Canis lupus familiaris: one gene and its partners. Each later gene encodes a partner of the first gene's protein in a complex. Links are inferred from orthologs where the notes say so. Each region holds a gene or a part of one and is shown in the gene's direction. Other genes may lie near its edges. The genes, in order: PRIM2, POLA1 and PRIM1.

Evidence for each region.
Region 2: the proteins of PRIM2 (region 1) and POLA1 are in contact, whole or in part, in a cryo-EM structure (PDB 8G9F), measured with the Xenopus laevis proteins. The link is inferred for Canis lupus familiaris from reciprocal best matches to the Homo sapiens genes PRIM2 and POLA1. Residues at the interface, in XP_018121015.1 of Xenopus laevis: Pro34, Pro35, Thr36, Glu37, Asn38, Ile39, Ser40, Leu41, Ile42, Phe44, Glu45, Ile49, Ile107, Phe110, Ile111, Leu114, Cys117, Gln118, Ser119, Glu120, Asp121, Arg123, Ala240, Arg241, Leu243, Val245, Val246, Gln247, Arg251, Leu252; in NP_001082055.1 of Xenopus laevis: Leu842, Lys853, Ile894, Pro895, Glu896, Leu971, His974, Arg977, Glu978, Leu981, His982, Glu985, Gln988, Lys989, Asn991, Glu993, Asn1007, Asn1009, Arg1101, Asp1102, Glu1106, Gln1109, Glu1221, Asp1224, Gly1225, Asp1227, Ala1229, Leu1230, Met1233, Trp1234.
Region 3: the proteins of PRIM2 (region 1) and PRIM1 are in contact, whole or in part, in a crystal structure (PDB 5EXR), measured with the Homo sapiens proteins. The link is inferred for Canis lupus familiaris from reciprocal best matches to the Homo sapiens genes PRIM2 and PRIM1. Residues at the interface, in NP_000938.2 of Homo sapiens: Glu165, Ala168, Ser169, Pro171, Ser172, Phe188, Ala189, Leu192, Phe195, Arg196, Gly197, Arg198, Val200, Tyr201, Leu202, Glu203, Asp204, Gly205, Phe206; in NP_000937.1 of Homo sapiens: Lys147, Glu148, Asp149, Phe150, Gly151, Phe152, Ala180, Val181, Gly184, Ile185, Glu187, Tyr188, Ser190, Leu191, Lys193, Lys207, Ile208, His209, Pro210, Ile212, Arg213.

Annotation. Positions count from the first base shown.
Region 1 is NC_049233.1:24,767,847-24,777,920, forward strand, and holds the start of PRIM2 (DNA primase large subunit), read left to right. Parts: upstream 1-4,266; 5' UTR 4,267-4,377; intron 4,378-5,109; 5' UTR 5,110-5,118; coding exon 5,119-5,272; intron 5,273-7,108; coding exon 7,109-7,212; intron 7,213-9,882; coding exon 9,883-9,962; intron 9,963-10,074. UniProt on the Homo sapiens protein: Regulatory subunit of the DNA primase complex and component of the DNA polymerase alpha complex (also known as the alpha DNA polymerase-primase complex) which play an essential role in the initiation of DNA synthesis.
Region 2 is NC_049260.1:20,336,442-20,345,906, forward strand, and holds part of POLA1 (DNA polymerase alpha catalytic subunit), read left to right. Parts: intron 1-714; coding exon 715-831; intron 832-2,050; coding exon 2,051-2,125; intron 2,126-3,187; coding exon 3,188-3,326; intron 3,327-4,070; coding exon 4,071-4,225; intron 4,226-9,169; coding exon 9,170-9,254; intron 9,255-9,465. UniProt on the Homo sapiens protein: Catalytic subunit of the DNA polymerase alpha complex (also known as the alpha DNA polymerase-primase complex) which plays an essential role in the initiation of DNA synthesis.
Region 3 is NC_049231.1:1,324,907-1,334,969, reverse strand, and holds the start of PRIM1 (DNA primase small subunit), read left to right. Parts: upstream 1-4,139; 5' UTR 4,140-4,221; coding exon 4,222-4,324; intron 4,325-5,138; coding exon 5,139-5,296; intron 5,297-10,063. UniProt on the Homo sapiens protein: Catalytic subunit of the DNA primase complex and component of the DNA polymerase alpha complex (also known as the alpha DNA polymerase-primase complex - primosome/replisome) which play an essential role in the initiation of DNA synthesis.

The DNA of each region.
Region 1 (10,074 bases):
AAATTTTGTCAGAGACGGTACTCTGTGCTTATTATAGGCTATACTGGGGAGCCAAGTCATTCTGGAAGGAATGTGTATAAAGTTTTCAGATGAGGACTTGAAGTTTTATATTTTGGAGCCAACTTTGATTCAAACCATCTGTTGCATATCAAGCTGAACCCATCAGTCTTTTGATAAATCTTTCCTATTTTACATTAATTCAGTATAATTAATATTTGCTGGGGAACTTGGAGTGCCATATATTGGGGTTACAAAAATGAATGACACACTGATCTCTGCTTTTCAGATGCTTAAGGTCTAGCAGAAATAAAGGTTATATGTTTATATGTTTTTCCACCTCCAGTCTCCATAACCAGATTATGAGGTTGAGGTCTATAATTTATGTGAATCTTGGTTGCCAGGGATGAGCATTGTGTTAATCCATTTTTAAAAAATGAAATAAATACATGAAAGAGCTTGCGGTGATTTACCAAATATGGTCACTGAAGTGGATAACATTATTGAGCATTATTCATACTGTAATGTGTAGATGTGTATTATAATTGCCTCTGGATACAGAAAACACTCTTCACAGTGAGGTAGTGACCAAAGGAGAGTGTTCTGAGCAGTGTGTTCATCAAATCATCCAGTGGTTCACATTCTCATTGTACTATATGGAATTGCAGAGATCATGGTGGTTTAAATGAGGAGCAGCCTATAAGCAAAGGCTCAATAGGATGGAAGAAGGCAGCAGTTGACTACTTGAAGTATGGGTAGAAGTCTTACAGCAGGGCTGGTTAGGGCTTTTGGAGACACAAAGTAGGGAAGTACAAGGTCTTTTGGGGAAGAGCTAGTAGTTCAGAGCATATGTTGGAGGGTAGTGGTAGGCAATAAGATGATCAAATCTTGGGGCCATGCTGTGGAAAGCCTTCAGATGTTTTTGAACGATTAAAACAGAATCTTAAAAATACCATAAAATGTCTCATAGTCTACCTCACTGCTAGTTGCTTAGTTGCCATTAATGTAAAACATGTTTATGTTTGTAGGAGACTATTTTTTTTTAAAGATTTTATTCATTTATTCATGAGAGACACACAGAGAGGAGAAGCAGAGACACAGGCAGAGGGAGAAGCAGGGATCCCAGGACCCCGGGATCACGTCGAGTCAAAAGGCAGGAGCTCAACCACTGAGCCACTCAGATGCCCCAGGAGACTAATTTCTTTAACAGTCCGAAGAACTATAAAAGATATCAACTATTGTAGAGAAAGAGGTATTGACATTTAAGTCAAAGGTGGGATGCTTTACTACTGGACTAAGGATAAAGCTAAGTTAAATAAAAACTAAGTATATCTCAGAGTGGCTGTCTTGCACCTAAAATTTTAATTCCAATGGATACCATCTGCCCAGATAGTAAGGGGGGGAGGTTGGAGGTTGGTGCACTAGTGGAGGTACGAAGCAGGAGTTGCAGAGGGCTGTCCCCTGGTGGAAGTCAGAAGCATTGTAGGAAAATGTACTAGTATGGCAAGAGCAACTTTCATTCATTCATTCTCAACAACCATGCAATTTTTTTTTTAAGATTTTATTTATTTATTCATAGAGATGCAGAGAGAGAGAGAGGCAGAGACACAGGCAGAGGGAGAAGCAGGCTCCATGCAGGGAGCCCAACGTAGGACTCGATCCCAGGTCTCCAGGATCATGCCCTGGGCTGCAGGCGGTGCTAAACCACTGCGCCACCCGGGCTGCCCACAACCATGCAATTTTATTGCTTAAAACAAAATGTTAACAGTGTCTGTCCCTGGGTGACAGTATAAGCAGATTGCCGCATCATAGGTGGATTTTCTTTTTGACATTTTCCAAAATTTCTAAAATTTAATTTACTAGGGAAAAGTAGTTTAAAAATGACTTGTTGGATCGCCTGGGTGGCTCAGCTGTTGAGCGCCTACCTTTGGCTCAGGGTGTGATCATGGAGTCCTGGGATCGAGTTCCACATCGGGCTACCTGAATGCAGCCGGCTTCTCCCTCTGCCTATGTGTGTGTGTCTTGTGAATAAATAAACCTTTAAGAAAAATGACTTGTCAATTAGGTAATGTTTTTACAAGATTGGGCTTATATGGCATGTATGGTTTTCTGTATTTTGCTGTTAATAGTATCCTAAGCATTTTCCCAAGTCAATAGTCTTCAAAAACACGTATTTTGAATGGTTGTGTAATGTCCCATAATAGGACTATACTATTATTTATTCTTTTTTCCTGGGTTTTCACTACTATAGTGGTTTAATGAAGTTTCTCGAACACAAATTTTTGTGTCCATTTCTGAACAGATTCATCTAAGTTAAACTGTATGAATTCTTTTAGGGCTCATAATACACATTACTATATCGTACTCCAGACTTTTAGTACCGCAACAATTCCTATGTGAGCTCATTGTACTGGACTTTGCCCAGCACTATTTTCATTGTAAAATCTTTGCCAGTTTTGTAGAGGAAAATTTCTTTGCTGTCAATAATAAACACTTTTTCATATTTCATGATTGGTTAGGAGTTATTTGTTGCTGTTCTTTTCCCACTTTTCAGTTTTTGTCAGCATTTTTTTCTAATTTACTTAAGCTCTTTACATTTTGATGGTATTAGTCATCGTACATTTTCCCCTAGTTTGATGACTGCAAAAAATTTTGTGAATTTTTAAGATGCCCGATTTTACATTTTTATAGTCAAATCTTTAGATTTCTTTGTACTTTATTTACATTAATTTCCTATCCAGAGATCAGATAAATATTCACGTAAATGTTCCTATCGTCTGTGCTCTAGGTTTTTCAGGCAGTTCTCATGTTTTCAGGTGTCTTCTTTGTATCAGGTTATGTTAATTATGTTGTCTGATACAGAGAGGAAAGAATTAAAGTGAGGCACTGCTGTCAAAACGTGGAATTAGGGATCCCTGGGTGGCGCAGCGGTTTAGCGCCTGCCTTTGGCCCAGGGTGCGATCCTGGAGACCCGGGATCGAATCCCACGTCGGGCTCCCGGTGCATGGAGCCTGCTTCTCCCTCTGCCTGTGTCTCTGCCTCTCTCTCTCTCTGTGTGACTATCATAAATAAATAAATAAATAAATAAAACTTAAAAAAAAAAACCAAAACGTGGAATTGGTACTGTATGCTAGTTAGCACTGTGGTGCTTGGAGTCTCCCTCACTTTGAACCTGGCCCTGTCATTTATACGATCTTTGAAGTAACTTAACTTCTTGCCCTTTTCTGTGGTTTCCTTATCTGTAAAATGGGTTAATAACATAACCTATCTCATACAGTTATGAGAATTGATGAATTGATGTAGAAATCACTTAGAACACGTCCTGATACAAAGTCAGGGCTAGCCGCAGCTTGATCCACGATGGGTAGGTGCTTTGAAGTTTGGTATTGTTTCGATATATTTTGCATTTCTAAAAACCTGACGTTTCCTTTCAAAGCGCTCTTCACCTGCAATGATCACCAGATCTTTCTTCAGCCACTTTAGTGAGGCACGCCTCCTAGAGGCCACAAGTGAAGCTTATTTCGAGCTCCTGAAAACCCTACAGATCTCCTTTGGAGAGCTGGTGTGGCTCTGACCCACCGCTTGCTTCCGATGGACCCCTACTTCTTCCCTCTGAGCCTAATCTCTTCAAATTTCTGCAGGTCCCGGAGCGCGATCTGCGTGTGTGCATTCATCCTAGCTCCAGCCATTTTGCGGGGGCTTACTAAGCGCGAGGCGTGGGGTGGGGGTGGGGGTGGGGGTGGGGAACCCAAGAAGGTCGAATCTGTCTTTACGGTGCTTGCCGTCCCGTAGGGAAAAAAAAAAACCAAAAAAAGAGAACGTGCTGTGCATAGATGGACAAACTAACGTTCATCTTTTAGCTTCCATTTTCTCATCTCTAAAATGGAAGTAATACAACCTACCTTATAGGGTCGCAGAAAAGATTAAACAAGGGAAAACAGAGCCCCCAAGAGCCCCCAACGGGTGAGAAGGGAGCGCAGCCATCGCCTATTGCGGCATCCTCCTCCAGCTCCAGAGCGATCAGTCTACCCGGTGGGTTAAGGCGCCAGGCTCTTGGGAGCGTGGGAACTTCCACCGCTAGTCTTCCCAGTGTCACTCGTCAAAAGCTCCCGGTTGCAGGTACAGGAGGTACAGCTTGCAATCTGGAAACACAAACCATCGAGTTTAAGAAATTCTAAGCCGGCAAAGCGGGCTCAAAGCCCCCGGGAACCCGGGAGCCCCCGCACGGAGCATGCGCAGGGCGCGCGCTGGGTGGGCGGGACGTGCGAAGGGACGCTGTTGTCCTCGTCACTTCCGTTTCCGGTCCCATACGAACTCTCCCGCCATCTGAGGAAAGCGGCTGTTGGGGTTTGTGTGTTTTCGTATTTGGTGTGATTGCAGGTAAGAGGATCTCCTGCGGCTCTAGGACGGACAGTAATCTTGGTGTTGAGGCTTCCAAGTGGGGAAAGAAGGGAGAGCACTTTGCGGGCGGTGAGAGCCGAAGGATGACATGGCGGGGTGAAGGTACTGGGTGTCGGTAGGTTGGGGGCAGACACAGGTGCCAGCGAGTTGAGGGGACAGAAGCTTCGCCTGAGAAGGGCTCGGTTAGGATGGAGGCGGGTAATTTTTATAAGGGGCTTTGGATGCTTTCCTACAAGCCCGGAAAGACTGGATTAGACGTGTTCTGTTTCCCAGGGTTCTGAGGTAGGAAGTAACTGGGCCCGGTGCATTCAGTCTCTGCAAAGCCAGAACCTGCCGCGCTTTCTTCCACATTCAGGATCGCAACCCGTGTTAAATCCCACCTTAACTCTCGCGACCGCAGAGATCTAAGGGCGGTGGCACATAGACTTAGAGTGAACAGGTAACATAGCCTGACTTTGCTGTCGCCGCGAGTTATGGCTTCCACCTGCATACACCTCCCCCCACTCTCATGACGGAACTGTGTCAGGTCCGGTGTAGAAAACCTGGAAAAGGCAGAAAGACAGATTACCCAGGGATAGTCACTGTTAACATTTTATGCATGACCTTTAGGTTTTTTTTTTTTTTTTTCTGTATATGTGAAGTTTCTTTTTGCACTTTTTTTGTGGTCAACCCCACTTGCCATCATTTTAACCATTTTATGTTTCCTTCCAGGGGAATGAGATGCAGTTTTCAGGGGGAATGCGCAAAAAACTGAGGTTGGGAGGTGACCAACGGAAGGCTTCCTACCCTCACAGCCTTCAGTTTTACTTGGAGCCACCTTCTGAAAACATATCTTTGATAGAGTTTGAAAGCTTGGCTATCGATAGAGTTAAATGTGAGTGATATTTGAATTAGCGTTTATATATTCTTGAGAACTTCACTTACACTTTTTGTGGAATGAATGAGGGTAATTTATTTCCTTCAGTTAATTCAAGAAATATTTATTGAGGGCTTGCTTTTTATTTACTGCACAGTGTATGTTTATTGAGTGGCACTATACCCTAGGTTGGGTGGGGATTTTCAGATGAATAATGTAATTCTCATATTTGTTGAAGCTGTATTCTAGTACATAGATACAGACATCCAACGTAATAATCATAATTTAGTATTTTAAATGTCTTACTAGAGGTAAATAGTAGTGTTCTTGAAACAGGTGAGAGTGATTAAGACTGCTTAGAGAAGTTGAAATGAAAAAAAAGAAGTTAAAATGTAGTCTGGACTTGGAAGGAAGAGTAGAAATTTCTCAAAAGAAAAGTAAAAGATTTTTTTTCAAGATGAGATAATGGACTATACAAAGGCTTGGAGGCATGAGAGAATGTTATATTTGAGGGAACAGTGACAAGTTCAGGATAGGTGGAGAAGAATGGATAACCAAGGGCATTTTGTGCCAAGCTAATGGTGTAATATTGGTGTGTAAGGAGGATGTGGCACTTGTACTGCTGGCCTGCTTATCCTCTGTGTGCTAGTGTAAGAAAGAAAGAAGCTGGGCATGAATTGAAGCAGAAGTAATAGCAGTGTCTTCTGAGTTTCTGTTCCAGGATATCCTGGTGGGAAAATCAGAAGGTAAAGTGAGCTAATATTAGTCACTTTTAGAGGAGTAGAGTGGCACCTGCTAATGCAGAAAGAGAGCACTCAGTGCCTGTGGAGTGAAAGAGTGAAGACAGGAGAGAAAGGGGTTTCAGGAAGCTTAGCAGTGTCAGATGCTTCATAGATTAAGATGATGATTGAAAAGTGCCCTTTGAGTTTGGCATTTATGGGGTGAGATGATGAGGGCCTGAATTAAGGCAGTAATGGTGTCAGGAATAGGAAGGGAGTGATTTACAGGATACTGAGGAGGTGTTCCTGAGAGGAGTTGGTGATTATTTGGATGTGAGGAGTGGAGGGGCAGGTGGGAGTGGCTGAAATTTCAGTTGGGATGACCTGGTGCTTAGAACCTGTGCTAATGGAGATGGTATGGCAGGAAGAGGAGTAGGACTGAAGGGAAGAGAATTAGTTTAGTTTGGGATACCATCATGATGTACCTGTGGGGCATGGGTTTATGTTCAGGATTCATTTTAGATGTTTTTCATTGTTGAATTATCAAAATGCTTTTCATATTGATGGAAGTAGAATTCTTCTGAGGAAGGATTGAAAAGGTACTTTGGAAACCTTTGAAAGATACGTGCCTCTGTTCAAGGCAGTTCATTTAGTACACGGGGGGGCTTTGCTTCTTTACTACTACTTCTTTACTTCTTCTTCTCTACTTCATCAGTAAAGGAAGGGCTATTTTTTCTGAGGAGTCTATGCTGAGTCAGTGAAGCAAACTGACAAACAACGTTAGGGATGCAAACAAGGGTGCTTAATTTTTTTTTCATGCCAGCACACATGAATTCCTTGACAGTGGTGGCTCAGTACCAGAGTAATTATCCCCCATCCCTCTCCCTCTGCTTGAGAATCCCTGGTATTAGATTATGTTATGGGACATGGATATTTTCTGCACATGGATGGAGATTATCTTCTTATAAATTTATGTAATTTGTATAATGTACTTACAAAAAATAAAGGTGTTACAACTTGTCATCTTTTAAAAACAAGTAATTATGGAATTGCCATTCATTTGTCTTGGGACCTAGTTTTTAAAAATTACCTTGCATTCATACATTTTCTCTTCTGTTTTTATAATATTTTCTAGTGCTAAAAGCAGTTGAAAATCTTGGTGTAAGCTATGTGAAAGGAATTGAGCCATACCAAAGTAAGTTGGAGAATGAGATCAGAAGGCTCAAGTTTTCCTTCAGAGTAAGTAAAAGCGGGAAAGAAATGTTCTTCAGTTTGTATATATTTCTGTAGTGGGTCTTGGTTGTGGAAAAGATCTTGGATTAGGCCCAGGGCTTTAAAAAAGACTAATATAGCATAGACTCTGCCTGAAGATATATCTGCAGCCCACTAGGGGTGATTGACATATAGTCAGATGATCATAATACAGCAGGGTTTCTCGACCTTGGGATTATTGACATTTGGGCCTGATAATTCCTTGGTGCAGGTAGATGCTCAGTAGTGTCTCTGGCTTCTGTCCAGTAGGTATCTGTAGACATTGCCAGATGTACCCTGTGCACCACAACATGAGGGATGCCGATAGATATGTGCTCTAGGAACTTCAAGAGTACAGAGGATTACCCAGCTCACATTGGGGAGGTTTGGGAAGACATCCCAGTTCTAGCTAGTGCTGGAACTGAATCTGATAGATGTGATCAGATTTTTATTTTAGGAAGATGACTGCCAACAGCAGATTGAATGGGCCATATCTGGTAGGAGGAAAAACAGGTAACCTGGAAATAATGAGAGTGAATTGAATGGGGAGAAGAGGACTGATATTAAGAGATATTATGAAGGTCAAATAAACAGATTCTAGTGACATTGCAGGGAGAAGAGAGAGGAGAATTAGGAATGACTCCCAGGTTTTGGTTAGGACAAGTAGGTGGAAGGTGATAGTAGTTTGAGAGGTGATATATACAGAAGGAGAAGCAAGTCTTAGAAGGAAGATGTTGAGTTCTAAACATGAATTGGAGGTGCTCGTGGAAATGCTTAGTGGATAGTTGGGTATACGTGCAGGTTAGATTTGGGAGACACCTGGAGTGGGAATATAGATTAAAGAGGAAGGTTGGTATCAGGAGGAGGAAAATATTTGAGTGAGAAGATGATGATGGACAGGATGTGAAGAATACCAATATTTGAAGTGAAGTAGATTTGGGGGAGTCTAGGAAGGAGATTGAGAAGGAATTGCCAGAGAGGTAGATCAGCAGGGATGATAGTGTCATGGTAGCCAAGGAGGGCTGGAGCTGACATCATAATGATCGTGATATAAATACCAATACCATAAGAATAACGAGGAAGCATTCATATTCTACTTATTGTATCCCAGAGTTCATTCTAAGCATATTACATATATTAACCCATGTAATCCAGTTAATAGTCTTATGAGGCAGGTACAATTGTCACCACTATTTTATAGATAAGAGAATGGAGTTACTGATAAGCTACATAACTGACCCAGGCTTATAGGACGATAAGTGGCAGAGCCAAGATTTCAAATCTGGACATTTTGTTTCCATGATGGTGGTATCTTTAACTACATATTTCAGAAGCTTAGGACCATGTAAGATGAATGGTACAGAAACCATTGGATTTATCAGCTTGATGGAGCCTTGTAGATGGAGGCAGAAGCCAAAATGATGGCAGTGTTTGGAGGAGAGAAGTGGGTACAGAATATGTACTCTTGTAAGATGGCTAGCTGAAAAGAGAAGAGAAATAGATCTGAATATAGAAGAATTTATAGGGAAAAGAGAAGGCATACAAACATGATGGGAGATTACTTGAACATGCTTATAAACTGAGTGACGAAGAGAGAGAAGAACCTAGAAGAGAGAGAAGAGGAGCAGAATTTGAAGATAATTTGAGAGAGCATTTGATAAATCAAGATACTTAGGAGGCAAGAGCAGGTGGATTGCATGGCTTAGGTTTAGGGATTAGCTGATGTAGGAGGAGGGAGAGATCTTTTGTCCACAGAGATGGAAGGGACACTAGTACAGTGTGGATGCAGAAGCTCGGAGCTGAAGAAGTTGGCCCGGTGGCCTTTATTTTCTGTAAATTAGATGAAGTTATCTGTTGAGAGAGAACAGGAAGGTGGTGTGGTAGGGAGCTTAGCTCAACAATTGAAGACTGAAACAGCTTTTCTAAGAGTGAGGAAAGATGATTATGTGTCAAAACCCTTTTCTATTGCTTATAAGCATTGTGACCCTGGAAAAATTATATAACATCCCTGTGCCTCAGTTTCCTCATCTTTAAAATAGGGATATAGTAGTACTTACCTCAGATTTTTTTTAAAGGATTAAATGGGTTAATAAGATTAAAAATGGTTATAATAGTGCCTGGTACCTCAAGACTGCTCACTCTTACTGTGTTGAACTTAAATAAGCACTTGGTGCTTGTAAAAGTCCAGTACATGTTAGAGGTTGTGAATTTTTAATATTCCAAATTCTCAGTAATTGTGTATTTTATTCCCCCAGAGGTTCTCAGTATTTTGGTAATAGATCTGTAGAGTGTAGTGGTAGATTTATTTAAAATCTAGGTTTTTGCCAGATGGTTAAATGAAAGCAGTTGAAGGTTGATGCAAGGGGTGTTTGAAGAGATGAGAAAACTGGGTATAGGCTGGGTAAGAAAGGAAGTTAAGAGAGGGGTTGATAGGAAGAAAAGAGTAGAGTCCAAACCCAGGGGGTTTTGTTGAGATCAGTTCAGTTTTCATTTTCACTTAATGGCTAACAAGTAAAATGGTAATTACCTTGGAGGGCATATTTATGAAATTTGTTTTTGAAACTTTTACTTTACCATTGGCTTATGCTATCTCTATTTCTTTATATACTTGTTACCATTCTAATGCATTTATTTTATTCATGTGCCATTATTCTTAAGGAAAGCTTAGAAGATGAATATGAACCACGAAGAAAAGATCATATTTCTCACTTCATTTTACGCCTTGCTTATTGCCAGTCGTGAGTACACGTTTACAGTCTCACAGTCGAATCTGATATCTTGGGTTATAAATTGGTACATGGGAAGCTGACATATATTGTACTGACCATAGAAAAACCCAGAATAACATCA
Region 2 (9,465 bases), on another chromosome or scaffold:
TGTTCTGCCACCAATCGTAGTCTTCACTGGGGCTATGACTTACCCATAGCCTAGATGCTTCTTTCTTGCTGTCTGCCTAGTAACCATTGGTTGTCAGCAGCTCTGTTAGAGGCTGGGAGAAATAGAGAATGGAGTAAAACTGTGTTTTTTGACCCATTACACTGTCAAAGTGTGGGTTTTAGTGTATAATGGTATCTTCTCCCCCACCCCTCATTTCCATAGTAATCAGGATTGGGAGTATATGGCTTTAAACTGTCACATGGCATTTGGCCCAGTTGTCATGCTTCTGCTGTGCAGGCAGCACTGTTCCCTCCACGGCCGTTGAACCAGCTTAGCTACATTTGCTCCTCCTTTTTAAATTACGACTTAGCATCCACACTCCCCTCCTAAGCCCAGTCCCTCCCCTGAGATCTCAGTTGAACTGTGAATGTGAAGCTTCTTGGTCAGGATTTACCACACTATTCTCCCATTTTGTAGAATCAGTCATTTTTATCTTATGTGCTTTTATGATGCCACTGGGAAGATTTGGGCATTGGGGTTAGTATTTTTGGGGGTCTCCTGGTATCTTTGAACTCCTCTATCTATAAGACTGTTCTTCTAAATGTTTAAATGGCTGAAGCTGAAAATTGAATTAGACATGGGTTTCTTGTTGTTAAAAAGATCTCATGTACAGATACTTTTTTTCCCTCCCCTCTCCTCTCCATGGGAGAGCAGAAAATTGATCTAAATACAGGAAAAGAAACAGAAACTCTAGTTACAATGAAGGATGTTTATGATGAATTTGATGAGAAAATAGCAGCAAAATATAAAATCATGAAGTTCAAGTCTAAGGTTTGTATTTGGTGATAATTTTTTCCTGCTGTTTTTATTTGTTCATTTCCTGACTTACAAAATAATTACTGTATATCTTCTTTGCGAAAAATGTCTTTTTTGTGGCTATAATTCATTGGAAATTTCATAGGTATGAATGTAAAACTAATACGTAAGATTGGTAAAACTATTTTTTTCTCTTGGAAAATAATTTTCGTGAATTTGAATAGAAAGATAATACATAGTAATCATACTTGCAGCATATCTTGTATTCTTTTTCTGAAATGGAGAAGAAATTCTTGTGATCTTGTTTTTATTAGTTATTGGCAGGTTGTTTTGGTCTGAAGGTTAAGGTTTTATATTTAAAAATCAGGGACTATGATGCTGTTTCCGATAGAATAAAAATCTTTTATTTATGTGTTACATATTGATTGGTCTTGATTTTAGTGCAATAAAGGACCACCTTTGGCCATCATCATAGGGGCTTGTAATTCAGGATACTTTTAACAGTGATTGCAGCAAAGGGAGGATTGAGTTGCTGAAGATAAGGTTAATCATCTTAACTATTTGAGCTTTGAATTATGGCTGATGGATAAATCCTCTAAAATTCTAGAAATAGTGTGGTATAATGGTAAAGAGCATAGATACTGGGACCAGACTGCTAGTGCTTTCAGTCCTAGCCCTAGGACTTTGTAGTGTGTGACCTTGGAGAAGGGCTGAGTGACTTTCCTGGGCCTATTGTTCACCTGAGAAATTGGACCCTATATCAAGAGTTGTTGGAAGAAAAAAAAAAAGTTCTTGCAAGAATTAAGCCATTGAATTCTTATTAGGTGATTAGAATAGTCCGTGGTACTTAGTAAGCACTCAGTAAATATGAGCTATAATTTTAATGCTAATATTAATTCTCCATTCAAGATGGAGTTGGTTAGTATCAAAGAGTAGCAAATGATTTAATACATTAACATTATAAATATTTTTAATCTTTTATTGCCCTTCTTGAATGCAAACATTTCCAAGTTCTCTAGTGTCCAAGAGAAGTCTTTTTAGCATTTTGTCACTGGGTGTTTAGGCCCAATGGAAAGGGGGAAAGGGTGCCCTTTTGGCTTTATTTACCTTTGTGTTCCATGAGGTTACTGGGTTCCTCAGTGTCGAATACAGGGATGTGTGCTGTGTATATGCTTGTCATTTTAATTTGTAAAAAGCATTTTTCTTAATTATTTTTAAATATCTACTTACCCAGCCAGTGGAAAAGAATTATGCTTTTGAGATACCTGATGTTCCAGAAAAATCTGAGTACTTGGAAGTTAGATACTCGGTAAGTCAAAGAAAGTTACTGGGTTTTGGTTGAGAATGACATTTCTCTATATTTGAAATTTCAATTAGTATCAGGAGGACTCCTCAAGCCCCACAGTTCATTGGGGTGGACTTATAGTAATGAGTAATTAAAATGGATACAATTAATTTGAATATATAGATCATTAGTTTTACTGCCTTTCTCGGCTTTCAAGTATGCATCTTTAAAGATTTTACTTATTTATTTGAGAGGAGGGAGAGTGAGAGAGCATGAGTAGGGGGGAGAGGGAGAAAGACTCCCTGCTGAGTGGGGAGCCTGACGCAGGGCTCAATCCCAGGGCTCTGGGATCATGACCTGAACCAAAGGCAGATGCTTAACCGACTGAGCCACCCAGGCACCCCTTAAGTATGCATCTTTAAATAAGTGAGTTGAAACCACACAACTGCTTGTCAAATGGAATGAATGCCATGTGGTGGAGTTGAACATCATTAGTCTGTTGAAGTGTCCCTTCTGAGCAGCAGAAAAGTGAGAGAGGAACGTCAGCGGCACTGTAGTGCTGCTCTTGCTTCTCTGATAGGCAAGGTCATTGCTGTGGGACATTAATTAACTGGGCCTTAACCTCTTTTTACCTCTGTTATAGAGTTTTGATCTCATGATGTTGGAAAAGGGAAACTTCTAAGAAATGTTTCTGACAGTGGTGATGAAAAGTACCATAGAACCATTTTAAATGAGTTCCACTCTCTTGCTTTTATTCTTCCAATGGAGTGGTACTTACTTGGCTATTTATCAGTAAGGCATGTACAGCTCTGGACAGAAATCCTCTTTTGGGGGAGCTTCTTGGCCTATTTTTCTTCTAATGAGTGCCATCAAGATGCATTATTTTGTCATTGTGAATTGTTTTTGTGTCCTACTGTGAATTGTTTTGGATTTCATGTATTGCAAATTACATTTCATATATATCAAAGGGGTTTCTTCTGGAGGTTCATAAAGAGGCTTTTGTTTATTTCAAATATAGACTTGGGAAAATGTAAAGTAATAGTTTTAAACAAAAAAGGGTTTTTTTTTCTTCTTTGCCTTTTTCAGGCTGAAATGCCACAGCTTCCTCAGGATTTGAAAGGAGAAACTTTTTCTCATGTGTTTGGGACCAACACATCCAGCCTAGAAATGTTCTTGATGAACAGAAAGATCAAGGGACCTTGTTGGCTCGAGGTGAAAAATCCACGTAAGGAAAAATTTACATTTGGAAAGCCAGGTTGCTGATAGAGGAGATTTTTAGAAGTTAAGGAATTGGTCTTTGTGTTTCAGTGCCTCTCCTTCCTTTTTTATGTTGTTTTTCACAAGATGTTCCTTAAGTGAGTATTGGGAATGTGTTTGGATCCACTTTATTGCTGTGGTGCCTGGCAGTTGAGTGGGAGAGGTGTTAGCCCAGGTGGTCGTTTGCATGCATCTCTCTTTGTGCTGTTGTTGGCATGTACTTCTGACCTGGCCGATGAAGCCCACCTGCTATACGTAGTGGACTGCTGACTCTGAAGGAGGGAAAGCATCACTGCCTGATGTGGCTAGTGCTCGTTTGGTTTCTTACCTCATGTTTTCCAGTATTTGCATTTGTGATACTCTGTTTTGGCTTCATGAATCTCTCAAAAATGTTTTGTGAAAAAAAAATGTTTTGTGATTCCTCTAGGGTGGGGTTTTATTTTTTTTTAAAAACTTCTTTGGGTCCTGGATTCTTAAGAAAATCAGATGAAAGCTGTGGACCTTTTTCTCAGGAAGATGAACATACTGTACATACACACGACTTTGCATACAACCCAATAATCGGACTTATTTTTAGTTAGATGTTGTAATAAGACATTCTTATTGGAATATGGGGTTGAAGACTTTCTCAGTTAATCACAGATATCTTAATTATAGTAGTTTTCCTTTTTCAACAAATGGCTATTGATCTGTTTTATCTGTTCTCTTTCAGAGCTCTTGAATCAGCCAGTCAGTTGGTGTAAAGTTGAGGCAATGGCCTTGAAACCAGACCTGGTGAATGTAATTAAAGATATTGGTCCTCCTCCACTCGTGGTCATGTCTTTCAGCATGAAGACAATGCAGAATGCAAAGACACATCAACATGAGGTAAAGAAATTTGTACCTATGCTTTTTAAAATTGTTTTGAAGATTTTAAAAAAGATTTTATTTATTTATTCATGAGAGACACAGAGAGAGAGAGGCAGAGACACAGGCAGAGGGAGAAGCAGGCTCCATGCAGGGAGCCCGACGTGGGACTCGATCCTGGGTCTCCAGGATCACACCCTGGGCCGACGGCAGGTGCCAAACCACTGAGCCACCCAGGGATCCCAGAAAATTTTTGAAGATTTTTATTTATTTATTCATGAAAGACACAGAGGCAGAGACATAGACAGAGGGAGAAGCAGGCTCCCCATGGGGAGTCCAGTGGTGGGACTCCATCCCAGGACTCTGGGATCATGACCTGAGCCAAAGGCAGATGCTCAGCTACTAAGCCACCCTGGTACCCCTGTACCTATGCTTTAATGCAATGCTTTCTTGAACTTGTACAACTATTCTACAAGGGGATATTATTCTTTCTGGAGGAGAAAGAATACTAATGCACTCCCAAACTCCATTTTGGAGATAGAATTGAATTTGTTGGGTGTTGGAGTTTTCATTAAAGACTTAAATTTCTGGACTTATTTTTATTTTTTGTTATTTGAATTTTTTATTTTAGAAAACTTTAAGTGGACTTGGAATAATATAATGAACTTCCATAATCCTTTTACTCATTCAGTAGTAAGCAAGATTTTGTCACACTTGTTTTCCTTCCACTTTGTTTTCCCTGCTGGAAGTATTCTAAAAGCTAAGGTCAGATATTGTGTAATTTACCATTGTATACTTTGGTATGCATCTCTCAAAACATATACACTTTCTTGTAGAATACCATTATTGCACTTAATAACTATACCAGTGATACCTTGATCCAGTCTAAAAATAAAATACTCAGTCCATATTCATATGATTCTTTTTATCAAAAATGTCTTTTGGGATTATTTTTGACATCCATTAGTTTCAGGTGTACCACATAGTGATTTGATGTTCTTATGCACTATAAAATAATCACCATGATAGGCCTAGTAACCATCTGTATTACCACATAGTTATTACAACATTACTGACTCAAAAATGTTTTCTACCAGTTGGTTTCCTTGAATCAGGATTCATGTAAGATTCACAGATGTTTAATTTTTTATATCTCTTGAATCTCTTTTAAATGGGAGCAGCTTCCTCCCACTCTCTTTTTCTGTTGACATTGACTTAAGAATCACTGTTTATTGTCTTATAGAATGTCCCATTTTCTGTTTGCTTCCTCGTGTCATTGGACTTCTTCCTGTGTACCGGGGTTGGCACGGTATGGCCTATGGGCAAATCTAGCCTCACCATCTGTTTTTGTAAATAAAGTTTAATTGAAAGACATCCTGCCTATTAGTTCACAGCTGCAGTTGCTGTAGTTACTAGCCATGACAGTGGCCATGTGACCTGAAAACCTAAAATACTTAGTACTTGGCTCTTTACAGAACCAGTTTGCTCACCCCTGCTACTAGTTAGCACTAAATAATTTATTAGATTCAGTTTTGACTTTTTGGGTTAGTGTGCTCTATAGGTGTATGATATATTTCATACTGCATAATATATCAGCAGGCATATAATGTCTGGTGAAACCACTGTTAGTGGGGCTGTGATTGATTAGTGGGTTCAAGTTTTCATCTGAAAGAGAAGTATTTAACCTTGTCACTACTAATGTTTTGGGCTGAATTATTCATTGTTGTGAGGGCTGTCCTGGGCATTGTGGGATGTTTAGCAGTAACTGTGGCCTCTCCCCGATGCCAGTTAGCACCCCTCCCCCCTACTTGTAATAACCAAAAATACCTCCACACATCTCCAACTGTCCTCTGGGGGTGGGTAGCAAAATTGTTCCCATTTAAGAACCATTGATCTAATGGCTCCCCCCTTCATTTTTTTTACCTGAATGAGTTATTTCATTAGAAGTTGTAAAACAGTGTTTTAATTCTGTCATCCTTTCCACGTTTATTAAACATGTTAAATATTAGAATGTTTAGGGACACCTGGGTGGCTCAATGGTTGAGCATCTGCCTTTGGCTCAGGTCATGATTCCGGAATCCTGGGATCGAGTCTTGCATCAGGCTCCCCATGGGGAGCCTGCTTCTCCCTCTGCCTATGTCTCTGCCTCTCTCTCTCTCTCTCTCTCTGATGAATAAATAAAATCTTTACAAAAATATTAGAATATTTATTAAATTTTTCTGTAACATTAACTTTTCCTCATTAATCAGCACTATTTGGTTATGCTGCAGTAGTTTGTACAGGAAAGATGAGGTCATTGTGTACTTTCTTTTTCATTGCCAATTTTCTGAGTAGGAAGTTGGGGCCCTACATTACATGCAATATTGACCAGTGATTTGTTAAATAAAAAAAAGTACCTGTCTTCTAGCCTTCAGGCTTTGCAGTACCATTTAACAAGAAAGAAAGTAGGGCTTCAGAGAAATTGCTGATTCAGGGCAGAAAGTGTCCAAGATGAGCCCGAAGTATCTAGTTCTACTAGAAAGCCAGGACAATATTAAAATCTACTGAAGATGTGTCACAAGAGCTCAGGAGTCAACTTGAAGAGTTTTCCAATGGCCAAAGATGGAATAGTTTGAGCATGGATATAGATGGCTGCAGCAGATTGAGACAGATGAGTTCACCCTGATACCATAAGCACAAGTGACCCTGCAGTGGTCATCTGGGAAAGTGGCTGGGGAACCAACTCACTGGTTTGGAAACTGGTCAATGAAGGGATTGAGTCTAGCATTTCTCTTGACCTTTTTGAACTCATATTGTACCTCAGGTAATCAAATAATCGATAAAGGGAAGTGTCTCTTCATAGAAGGTTTCCATCCAAGAAATGATGAAGCAGAATTTGAATATTATGACTTTGCAATCCCCCGTGAAATAATAGATGTAGCCAGTGATCACCAGTGGCTGCTAGTATCACTAAAAGAGAGCTAACCAGACATGATGTGCCTGTGCTGTCTGATAGAAGCAATCAGTGGCAACTCTAACATATTTGTCCCAAAAAACTGAATATGATTTTGATCAGGCCTTCAGATCTAAATATGAATTCACCAGCAGTGTAGAAATAGAGGAACATGTTAGATGGTATTATTGGGATACAAGCAGCAGAATTGATACCATGTGGTATTTTATGAGACAAATGACCCAGTTTCTTCAACAGATGAATTGCAGGAAAATAATAGGTGGGGAGGGGTTGTGCCTATAGTTTTACATATCAACTAATCGCAGAGTATGGGCTTACTTGGTAAATAAAATTGAGATTGTTGGGAAAACATGAAAATTTGAATCTTACCTGGATATTTAGTGATTTTAAGGAATTACTGTTAATCATATTAGCTATGATTGTGTTATATTTTAACAACTTGTTATCTTTTGAAGTAGTGGTTCTCAGTGGGGTGAGATTTTTGCCCTTTAAGGGGCATTTGGCCAGGTCTGGAGACGTTTTTGGTTGTCACAATTTGGGGGTGGAAGGTGGTGCTGTTGGCAGCCAGGGATACTGCTAAACATCCCACAGTGAACAGAATAGCCACCATAACAAAGAATTATTTGGTCAAAAATGTCCATAGTGCTGAGGTTGAGAAACTTTGTTTTAGAGATACATGCTGAAATATTTGTGGATAAAGTGATGGGTCTGGGTTTTGCTTCAAAATCATCTGGATAGGGATCCCTGGGTGGCGCAGCGGTTTGGCGCCTGCCTTTGGCCCAGGGCGCGATCCTGGAGACCCGGGATCGAATCCCACGTCGGGCTCCCGGTGCATGGAGCCTGCTTCTCCCTCTGCCTGTGTCTCTGCCTCTCTCTCTCTCTCTCTCTCTGTGACTATCATAAATAAATTTAAAAAAAATAAAAAAAAATCATCTGGATAGAGGCAAGAATAGGGATATTGAAGAGTTGATAATTGAAGTTGGGTGATAGGTGTATGAGAGTTGATTGTGCTGTTTTTCTCTCTTAGTAAATGTTGAATGAATGAATGAATGAATGAATGAATGAATGGGAGAGAGATTCTGCAGCCCTGTGTAAATTAGATGGCTTCCTAAGGGTTTAACTTACTTTGTTAGTAAAGTTGTTGACGCAGCAAATGTTTCTAAACCATGTGCTACTGTGATGGAATACTTGTGACTCATAAAAACAGAGGAGGAGACAGATACCAGCCCAATAGCAGAAATAGATGTAAAAGTTACAGAAGGATACACGTACTCTGGATAGCATCTACTAAAGGAAGCTGCCCTAGCCTGGGAGGCCAGGAAGATATCACTGGTTAGGGAAGGTTCTTGGGATGCTCTGAGGATCAGCCCCTGTGGGAGAGTGAAGTGCATGCTCTACCGACTGAGGCAGCCAGGTACCCTAGAAAGTACAAATTTAAAAAAGAAAATAATACCCACAACCCCTCTTCCCCAGCTATGTCCATGGTTGGCATCCTCCAGATTATTGGTCACACATATCTATAGCTTGTTTTTTAAAGAATGAGTCTTTGGGGCACCTGGGTGCCTCAGTGGTTGAGCATCTGCCTTTGGCTCAGATCATGATACTGGTGTCCTGCATCAGGCTCCCTGCGGGGAGTCTGCTTCTCCCTCTGCCTATGTCTCTGCCTCTCTCTCTCTCTCTGTGTCTCATGAATAAATAAATAAAATCTTTGGAAAAAAATAATGAAGTCTTTAAACATCACTTACCTGTTTTCTTTTGAGATCCCTGGCTGGGAGTCAGGAGCCCTGGCTTCTAGTTCCAGGTTGGACATTAATGGTTCTAAGTTTCTCTTCCCTCCTCTCCCCTTCTAGTTTCTCTATCTTTTGTTTGTTTAAATACTTTTCATAATAAAAAGTTAAAATATTCATATGGATTAAAATGTTTATCTTTTAATATTCTTGGTGGTTTTGATGAAAATGCAGAATGCATAGTAGGCATCCAGTAAGTGATCTTTTCCCCTCTTTTATTTGCAGATTATTGCTGTGGCAGCTTTGGTCCATCACAGCTTTGCATTAGATAAAGCGGCCCCACAGCCTCCCTTCCAGTCACACTTCTGTGGTATGTACATTTTTTAGCTGGTCTTCTAATGGCTTGATTTCAAGACTAGTTAGTATGTATTATTAAAGGAGTTTTATTTTTGTCAGCTGTGGACACTGAGTTATATTGGATTGGTGGTGCCTATTCAGCTGGTTTTGTTCAAGGAGCAGATTTGGGAAGCAATTTGACATCTCTTTTCCGTTCCAATGGTTATGTTATTGGGGTACTCTAC
Region 3 (10,063 bases), on another chromosome or scaffold:
TAACACTTCATTACATTTTTTTTTAATTTTTATTTATTTATGATAGTCACACAGAGAGAGAGAGGTGCAGAGACACAGGCAGAGGGAGAAGCAGGCTCCATGCACCAGGAGCCCGACGTGGGATTCGATCCCGGGTCTCCGGATCGCGCCCTGGCCAAAGGCAGGCGCCAAACCGCTGTGCCACCCAGGGATCCCTCATTACATTTTTTGATTTGTGTTTATTGCCCCTATTAGGTTATAACTTTCTCAGAAACAAAAACTATGTCATTAATTTTTTTCGCCCTACAATCTAGCTAAGTGCTCAACACAAATGTTCATTAACTATCTGTGGATCTATCAATCAAATAGATCATCCTTTATATGTTAAAAACATCCGAAATAACAAGAGTCGAACTAGAAAGGAAGTCATGAAGTAGGTGTCCAAGTCTGCAAATAATTTGCGGAGACCTAGGATTGATGGATTACCCAAAGAGGATGATGGTAGATGTATGTAGTAAAAGAAAACAGGATGGCAGACGGTTTATGGCTTGAAGGACAAAGGGGTTTTGCACCTTTGTGGATGAAAGCACAAGGGGAAACCAACTGAATGGCAATACTGCCTCCCAGTGGCACCTAAAATAACAGCCTCTAAAGCAGGGCACTTTTACAGAATAACAACTTTCTGATAGAGTGTGGTTGTGGCCTAAGAACTGTGCTAGGGACTTCTCACTTTATTTCACTTAATTCTGACAACAACTCCTTGTAGAGACACAACATGTAGCTTAGCAGTTAAATGCAGAGAGCTTTCTGGCTTTCCCAACATACTAGGTGGTGTGACCTCGGACCAAGAATTTAAGTTCTCTGCATATTTCCCCATCTATAAAATAGGATAATACTACTATCTACCACATAGGGTTCTTATGAGGGATAAATTTTTTAAAGTAGGCTCTATGCCGAGCGTGGCTCAATGAGCCTGAACTCATGACCCTGAAATCAAGACCTGAACTGGGATCAAAGTCAGACTCTCAATGGACTAAGATATCCAGGTGCCCCAATTAAGTTCTTTTTTTTTTGTTTTTAACAATCCTATACATTACTCAGTGGTCACCATAGTAAGTGTAGTCACCGTCTGTCTCCAAACAGTGTTATTACAATCTTATTCACTATTGGGACGCCTGGGTGGCTCAGTGGTTGAGCATCTGCCTTTGGCCCAGGGCATGATCCCGGAGTCCTGGGATCGAGTCCCGCATCGGGCTCCCTGCATGGAGCCTGCTTCTCCCTCTGCCTGTGTCTCTGCCTCTCTCTCTCTCTGTATCTCTCGTGAATAAATAAATAAAATCTTTTTTAAAAATCTTATTCACTATATTCCCTATGTTGTACTTTTCATTTCTGTGACTTCTTTATTTTATAACTGAAGTTAATACTTCCTAATCCCCTTTATCCATTTCACCCATCCCCCTACCCACCTCACCTCCAGCAACCACTATTTGGTCTCTGTATTTAAGAGTCTGGGTTTTTTTTGTTTGTCTCTTCATTTTGTTTCTTAGATTCCACATATGAGTTAAATAATAAGGTATTTGTCTTTCTCTGTCTCACTTATTTCACTTAACATAATAGTCTCTAGGTCCGTTCCTGTTGTTGCAAATGTCAAGACCTCACTCTCTTTTATGGCTGAGTAATATTCCTCTGTGTGTGTTTGGGGGGGTGAGGTGATATCACATCTTTGTCCATTCATCTATTTTAGATACTTGGCTTGCCTACATATCTTTGCTACTGTAAATAATCTACAATAAACATAGGGGTGCACATATCTTTTCTAATTAGTGCTTCCATTTTCTTTGAGTAAATACCCAATCATAGAATTACTTGATCATAGGGTATTTCAATTTTAATTTTTTGAGGAAAGTCCATACTGTTTTCCACCAATTTACATTTCCACCAATAGTCCACAAGGGTTCTTTTTCCTCCACATCCTCACCAACACCTGTTATTTCTTGTCCTTTTAATTTTACCCTTTCTGACAGGTGTAAGGGAGAAAAATAAATTCTCAAAAGGGTACTTGACAGCATAGCGAATGCTATATAAATAGTAGCTATTATTATTCCCTTTTTCTGATGAGAAAATCAATGTTAAATAAATTGAGTACACAGTAGTAACTTAAAAAAATATAACTTCCTGGGATCCCTGGGTGGCGCAGCGGTTTGGCGCCTGCCTTGGCCCAGGGCGATCCTGGAGACCCGGGATCAAATCCCACGTCAGGCTCCCGGTGCATGGAGCCTGCTTCTCCCTCTGCCTGTGTCTCTGCCTCTCTCTCTCTCTCTCTCTGTGTGTGACTATCATAAATAAATAAAAATTTATATATATATATATAACTTCCTTTGCTTTTTTCCCTTACATCTTAGCTCTCTCAGGTGTTGTGCTCCTTAGTGGTTCTGAAATTCAAACAGGGGACTCTCAAATATTCCAAAGAAGTCAGTTCCTAAAGGCAGCAACGCAAAAACTGAGAAACCTCCATTAAAAAGTCCAGAGGGAGGGGAAGCCCGAGTGGCTCAACGCTTGAGTGTCTGTCTTTGGCTCAGGTGGTGATCAGGAGTCCTGGGATTGAGTCCCATGTTGGGCTCCCCTCTGCCTATGTCTCTGTCTCTCTCTGTGTGTCTCTTATGAGTTAATAAATAGAATATTAAAAAAAAAAAAAGTCCAGAGAGAGACGGCTCTGGAAAAGAGCACTCCCTATGGCACTCTTGCCTTTCTTATTAGAGAGAAGATCTTCCCAGTAACAAAATTCACCCTACTCAAAACAAGATGCATAAGGATTGTGAAAATCAACTAACTTTGTGCACGAAATTAGATTTCAAGGAATATTCAAATAAGTATGATCTGCCCAGAGTCTATTTTTGACCACTTTGCCCACAGAAGCTAAAAGACTGTGATCATTTTCGAGATTAGGCTAATAGAGACTCTATTCTCTCCTTGTTCTTCTACTGTTACTGCAAACATAAAATTCATGAAAATGATGGTTTTCAAGTAACATACTTTGTAATTATAGACTTCCCACCCCACTCCACATTTGCAATGAGGTGTATCTTTACCAGGTAAGATTGATTGGCAGATCGGCACGTTAGTAGCAGACTCCTTTCAAAGCTCTCCATGATTCTGCAAGATTTCTCTAATTCAGATTTTAGGATTCCTGGGTGTTCTATTTGAGAGACTGAGTATACAAACAGTGGCCATATGTAAAGACAGAAGTTTGAGGAACCCTGGCTGGCTCAGGTGGAAGAGCATGCAACTCAGGGTTGGGAGTTCAAGCCCTATGTTGGGTGTAGAGTTTACTTAAAAACAGAACCCTGACCTACAACCTGAAGAAGCCAACCCAGAAAACCAATCCCCCTATCTATAATAAACACCTCAGGAAGCCAGCCTGCTGTAAGTTAGACTTGCAGAAGTCAGATCACTGTCTGTAGTAATAGTCCAGGAAGCCAAACAATAGCCCCTATAACAACTGGCCCCAAATGGCCAGCCCTTGATTAATAAATACCAGCTTCCCTAAATTTTGTGGCCACTTCCAATTTAGGACCAACCAGATAAAGTCAAATATGTGTCCCTACTCCTGGATAGCCCAACTACAGCTTTCCCATTGCAAACAGCCTTGAATCGAGGTATACCTGAAACCTCCCCTCCCCCCACTGTAAAGCTTTCCCTTGCCTCTGCCCGCCTTTGAGTCTTTGCCAAAACTCCAGTGTCTGCAGCTGACCCCTTGCCATATAGCAAACTCTGAGTAAATAGGCTTTGATTTTCTTATTTGCTTGGTCTTCGTTTATTTCCACATATTAGACCTAGTAATTCTATGAAGAATTAATTTCCAAACCCTCTTTAAAAGATACTGGCTTACACTGTTTAAATGCGTTATTTCTGAAACATTCATAAAGTTAGCGGGGAACATCATTTCTTACTTCATCTTAGCACCTACTTCCAGAAGCCCAAGGGCTCACCTTTCTGCACGGGATCCCTCCCGGAACGGAAGCGGCTTTCCTCTGCCCACCAGAGCAGCCGAGTTTAGCGAGGCAGCTGATTCGCTGAGATCCCGCCGGCCCAGGCCAACCCCCAAGAGGGAACTACAATTCCCAGAGGCCCTTGCAGAGGCCGGGGCGTGGGCACAGCGCGCCTGCGCAGTGGCCGAAGCCCGGGTTGTGTGCTTCCCGCCAATTCTTGCGATAATCCTGCAGAGGTTGAGTCCCGTGCTCCATGGCGACGTTTGACCCGGCCGAGCTGCCCGAGCTGCTTAAGCTTTATTACCGGAGGCTTTTCCCCTACGCCCAGTACTACCGCTGGCTCAACTATGGCGGAGGTGATGGAAGCCGGGGGCGGAGAGGGGAGTGGTCCGGGGGGCGGTGAGGAGGGGGCTCTGGGAGGGCGCCTCCTGCGCGCCGGGCGTCCTGTCGCGCGCTCCCACCACCTCAGGGGTGTAAAGGGGCCGAGCGGGCGAGCGTAAGCAGCCTCGGCCCCTGCGCGGTCGGACTCCGGTCAGGGCCGCGCTCGCCGGCCGCGGTGCCTGAGCCCGGGCGACGACTGGGTCCGAGCCTCAGGCTGCAGAGGCGGCTCCCGCCTCAGGGCCCGCGCGCGGGCAGCTCCCGGCAGGGGAGAGCTGCCGACTTCGCAGCTGAGCTGCTTGCGGCCCGCTGAGGAGCCGCGGGTGACATTGCACCTTTAAATATTTCTGCTTTTCCCCCATTTTTACTTTTCCTATCAGATGCAGGATGGTAAGCCCTTTCAAGTCAGGGACTAGGTCTTTTTTTTTTTTTTTTTTTTTTTTTTTTAACATGTAGCACAGGGGATCCCTGGGTGGCGCAGAGGTTTGGCGCCTGCCTTTGGCCCAGGGCGCGATCCTGGAGACCCGGGATCGAATCCCACGTCGGGCTCCCGGTGCGTAGAGCCTGCTTCTCCCTCTGCCTGTGTCTCTGCCTCTCTCTCTCTGTGTGACTATCATTAAAAAAAAAAAAAAAAAAAAAAAACATGTAGCACAGTGTTAGGCACAGAGGGCTCATTAAAATTATCTTCTCATGGGTCAGAGTTATAATGCCCCGAGCTGAATAAAGTACCAAATTAACAAAACAAAACAAAAAGTACCAAATTAACTTTAAAATTGTATATTTATTTTGCAGTAATAAAGAATTACTTTCAACACCGTGAATTTTCATTCACATTGAAAGATGATATTTACATTCGCTACCAATCCTTCAGCAACCAGAGGGATCTGGAAAAGGAGATGCAGAAAATGAACCCATACAAGATTGATATAGGCGCGGTATATTCCCACAGAGTAAGAAGTCTTTTGTGTATTTTGTAGTTTTGTTTTTAAACCAAGAACGGGGGATCCCTGGGTGGCGCAGCGGTTTGGCGCCTGCCTTTGGCCCAGGGCGCGATCCTGGAGACCCCGGATCGAATCCCACCTCAGGCTCCCGGTGCATGGAGCCTGCTTCTCCCTCTGCCTATGTCTCTGCCTCTCTCTCTCTCTCTCTCTATGTGACTATCATAAATAAATAAAATTAAAAAAAATTAAAAAAAAAAAATAAACCAAGAACGGGGCAGCCTGGGTGGCTCAGCGGTTTAGCACCTGCCTCTGGCCCAGGGCCTGATCCTGGAGTCCCGGGATCGAGTCCCACATCAGGCTCCCTGCATGGAGCCTGCTTCTCCCTCTGCCTGCGTCTCTGCCTCTTTCTCTCTCTCTCCCTGTGTCTCTCATGAATAAATAAAATCTTTAAAAATAAATAAGTAAAATAAACCAAGAATGGATTGGTGCCCCCATCGTTCTGAGATTTAATTTTTAGAGCTTATTCTAGTGGAACCCCACTTTAACTTTCTTGCAAGTAAATTGCAGTATTTTTTGTTCCTTGATACTCTACATTTGGAAGTGAGTTGGTTGTATTCTCACTCGGACAAAAATATTGAGTATCTGGCCGAAAGAGTAAACGAGGAAGTCAGCATGGTTTAAAGGACGGTATTTTTAAACAATTACATTGTCTTCCAGCATTGGAGGTGTTTTGTTTTAAGTAACTTCTTTATCCAATGTAACTCTGAGATCGACAGTCACCTACTCCATGGGCAGAGCCAGGCCAGCACCCCATGGAGTCTTGATTCCTCTGTTTCTTTCACACTCTATATCTGTTCCATTAGGAAATCCCTTTAGCTCTACTAAAATAGTATCTGAAATCCAACCACGGGTACCGGTGCTACTACCATTATCATCTTTCATCTGAATTATGGTAAAAACTTTCTAACAATTTGCCCCTATAGATTCTAAAGTCTATTCTTCAGAGAGTAGCCAGAGCAGTCCTTTTATTTTTTTTTTAAGATTTTATTTATTTATTCATGAGACAGAGAGAGAGAGACAGAGACACAGGCAGAGGGAGAAGCAGATTTCACACAGGGAGCCCAACGTGGGACTCCATCCCAGGTCTCCAGGATCATGCCCTGAGCTGAAGGCGGCGCTAAACCGCTGAGCCACCCGGGCTGCCCAACAGCAGTCCTTTTAAAGCAAGTCAGAATCTGTGATTCCTCTGCTCAAAACCATTCTCCAGTGGCTCCCCATTTCACTCAGAGTAGAAGCCCCACTCTCCCCCTCACTCCCTCCACTCCAGCCACACTAACCCTTGCTCAAGCAGTTTCCACTGCCCAATCCCGTTTTCCCAGGTATCTTGTCGGTTCCCTCCCTCACCTACTCAAGTCTTCACTCAGTGAGGCCTACTGTAACCTGCCGCTCCTACCCATCGCTACTGATGTAGTCTAAATGCTAGAATAGTGCCTGGCAGAGAGAGTGCACCATAAACATTTGTTGAACGAGTGAACATACCAAAATTGCCATTCTTTCTCTCCTTAAAAACACACAAATGAGGGGGAGAAATACGCTTATGGGATAATAGCTTTTATATGGAGCTTTTTCTTTTCTTTCTTCCCAGGATTTATTTATTTATTTTAGAGAGACAGTGCAGGTGTGCAAGCAGGGAGAGAGGCAAAGAATCTCAAGCCGACTTACTGGTAGAGCCCAACACAGAGCTGAATCCTCTGACCTTGAACTCATGACCTGAGCCAAAATGAGAAGTCAGACACTTAATGGACTGAGCCACCCAGGCGCCCCAGGCTTTTTTTTTTTTTTTTTTTTAAGTGTTTCCTACTCCTATTATTTTCTGCTCCCCAGAGCCAACTGCTTTCTTTTAGCTGATTCTTAAGGTATTTGCCCCTCGTGTGTAAATAATATTTTTGTATTTCTTCTGTTTTCCATTTTAAGCATAATGTACTTGACCTTCTACTCTGGCAAGTGAGGATTTAGCTTTTTTTTCACCTCACCTTCCCATTTCCACATGTCCCAATATGTTAGATTAAAAATCTGGGTGGCCCAGTCAGTTAAGCATCTGCCTTTGGTTCCCGGGGTCCTGGAATCAAACCCCACATTGGGCTCCCTGGGGTCATGTTCCCGGGGTCCTGGAATCAAACCCCACATTGGGCTCCCTGCTCAGCAGGAAGTCTGCTTCCCCTCCCCCTCTGCACCTGCCGCCCCCCACTTGTATGCTCTCCCTCTCTCTCTCAAATAAATAAATAAAATATTTTTTAAAAATCAGGTTAGATCACTAAGTCAACCCCAAATTTCTTGCCAATTGTCTAATCTCCTAATGTATTCAGACACACCAGGTAGTTGGTCAGTTTCATCCCAAAGAAATTTCACTGGAGCTTTCCAACCTCCAAGCTGGACTGATTGCTCCCTCTAAGCCTCATGGATAAATATGATCCTGTAATCACCCCAGTTTCCTTTCACCTCTCTCCTATTTTGGATCCTGTGTTGCCTGAATCCTTTGTTCTCTTTGTGGTTTACTTCCTGGTTTGGGTAGAGCACATCCTTCAGGAGCTTCCTGAGAAAAGGTGCATGGAAAAGAAAATACTTGACACTTTCTGTATCTGGAAAATGTCTTCATTCTACCTTTAGGCTTAAGTAATGGTTGAGTTTGTAAATCAGTTTCCCCTAGTTTCCAGTGTTGCTGTTAAGACTACTGATGCAGGGGGATCCCTGGGTGGCGCAGCGGTTTGGCTCCTGCCTTTGGCCCAGGGCGCGATCCTGGAGACCCGGGATCGAATCCCACGTCGGGCTCCCCGTGCATGGAGCCTGTTTCTCCCTCTGCCTATGTCTCTGCCTCTCTCTTTCTCTCTGTGTGACTATCATAAATAAATAAAATAAAAAAAAATAACTATCTATATAAACTGCATTTAAAAAAAAAAAGACTACTGATGCAGGGCAGCCCTGGTGGCGCAGCGGTTTAGCGCTGCCTGCAGCCTGGGGTGTAATCCTGGAGATCCAGGATCAAGTCCCACATCAGGCTTCCTGTATGGAGCCTGCCTCTCCCTTTGTCTGTGTCTCTGCCTCTCTCTGTCTCTATGAATAAATAAAATCTTCAAAAAAAAAAAAAAAGACTAATGCATTCTCATTTTTGTTCCACTATGTTGGATTTGAAAGCTCTTAGGATTTTCTACCTATCCCCCGTCTCCCTAATGTTCTAAAATTTGACTATGATGTGCCTTGGTGTGCATGTTTTTACACCTATTGTGCTAGATACTTGATGGGCTCTTATAATCATGAACTCATGTCCTTCAATTCTAGGAAATTTTCTTTTTTCTCTTTTAAGATTTTATTTTGGGGACACCTGGGTGGCTCAGTGGTTAAGCATCTGCCTTCAGCCCAGGGAATGATCCTGGGGTTCAGGGACCGAGTCCAACATCGGGTTCCCTGCATGGAGCCTGCTCCCTCTGTGTATGTCTCTGCCTCTCCGTGTCTCTCATGAATAAATAAATAAATCTTAAAAAAAAAAAAAAAAAGGTTTTATTTTGAAGTAGTCTCTATACCCAATGTGGGGCTCAAACTTAAAACACAGAGATCGGGCAGTCCGGGTGGCCCAGTAGTTTAGCGCTGCCTTTGGCCCAGGGTGTGATCCTGAAGACCTGGGATCGAGTCCCATGTTGGGCTCCCTGCATGGGGCCTGCTTCTCTCTCTGCCTGTGTCTCTGCGTCTTTCTCTCTGTGTGTCTCTCATGAATAAATAAGTAAAATCTTTTAAACAAAACAAAACAAAACAAAACACAGAGATCAACAGTCTCATGCTCTACTGACTGAGCCATCCAGGCACCCCATTTTTTTTCTTAAATACAATTTTTTTTATCTATAATTTTTCTCTGATGTCTCTAGAAATCCTTAAGTCAGATGTTATATGTCTTGGACTGGTCCACTACTTCTTTTCTAATCCTATTTTCTATTTTTTTGTCCTTTTGCTCTCCTTTCTGGGGAATTTCCATTGAGGTTTTCATTTCTGCTATTTTAATTTCCAAGAACTTTTTTTAGAGCATCCAATACTTTTTTTCATTGATACGTCATATCTTTCTGAGGATATCAATGATAGTTTAAGTTTTTTGTTATACAGTGTTTTCTCAAAGTTGCTTTTTTTTCCCCGTTTTAACTCCTCTTTCATATTAGAGGCTTTCCTCAAGTCTGGTAATTTCTTGCATGTTGTTTATATTTAAAAATAGAGTACTAAGGATGCCTGAGTGGCTCAGCAGTTGGGCATCAGTCTTCAGCTCAGGGCGTAGTCCGGGTTCAGGGATTAAGTCCTCTGTTGGGCTCCTTGCAGGGGGCCTGCTTCTCCCTCTGCCTGTGTCTCTGCCTCTTTCTCTCTGTCTCTCATGAATAAATAAATAAAATGTTTTTTAAATAAAGTACTAAAAAAGCTGATTGGAAGATGTGTATACATGGCTAAGATTTATTACAGAGTGATCTGGCTGGACCAATTTTGGGGAAGGAAGTTCTGATGTCAATTTCTCTAGAACTTTGCTTAAATGAAAACTCCACTAGCACAGAGATGTTTGTTTTGATCACTCATCTTCTATTCCTAATGCCTGACACTCCTGATCAGATTCTTCAGAGAGGAATCTTCTGATCTCCTGCCTGGGGTGGCAGTGATAGGATATAGAAGTGGAGAAGAGCACTGGGTCTCAGCTTTCCATATGTAAATACCCACTTAATCCCCTGTATATCAGTACAATACACTTTC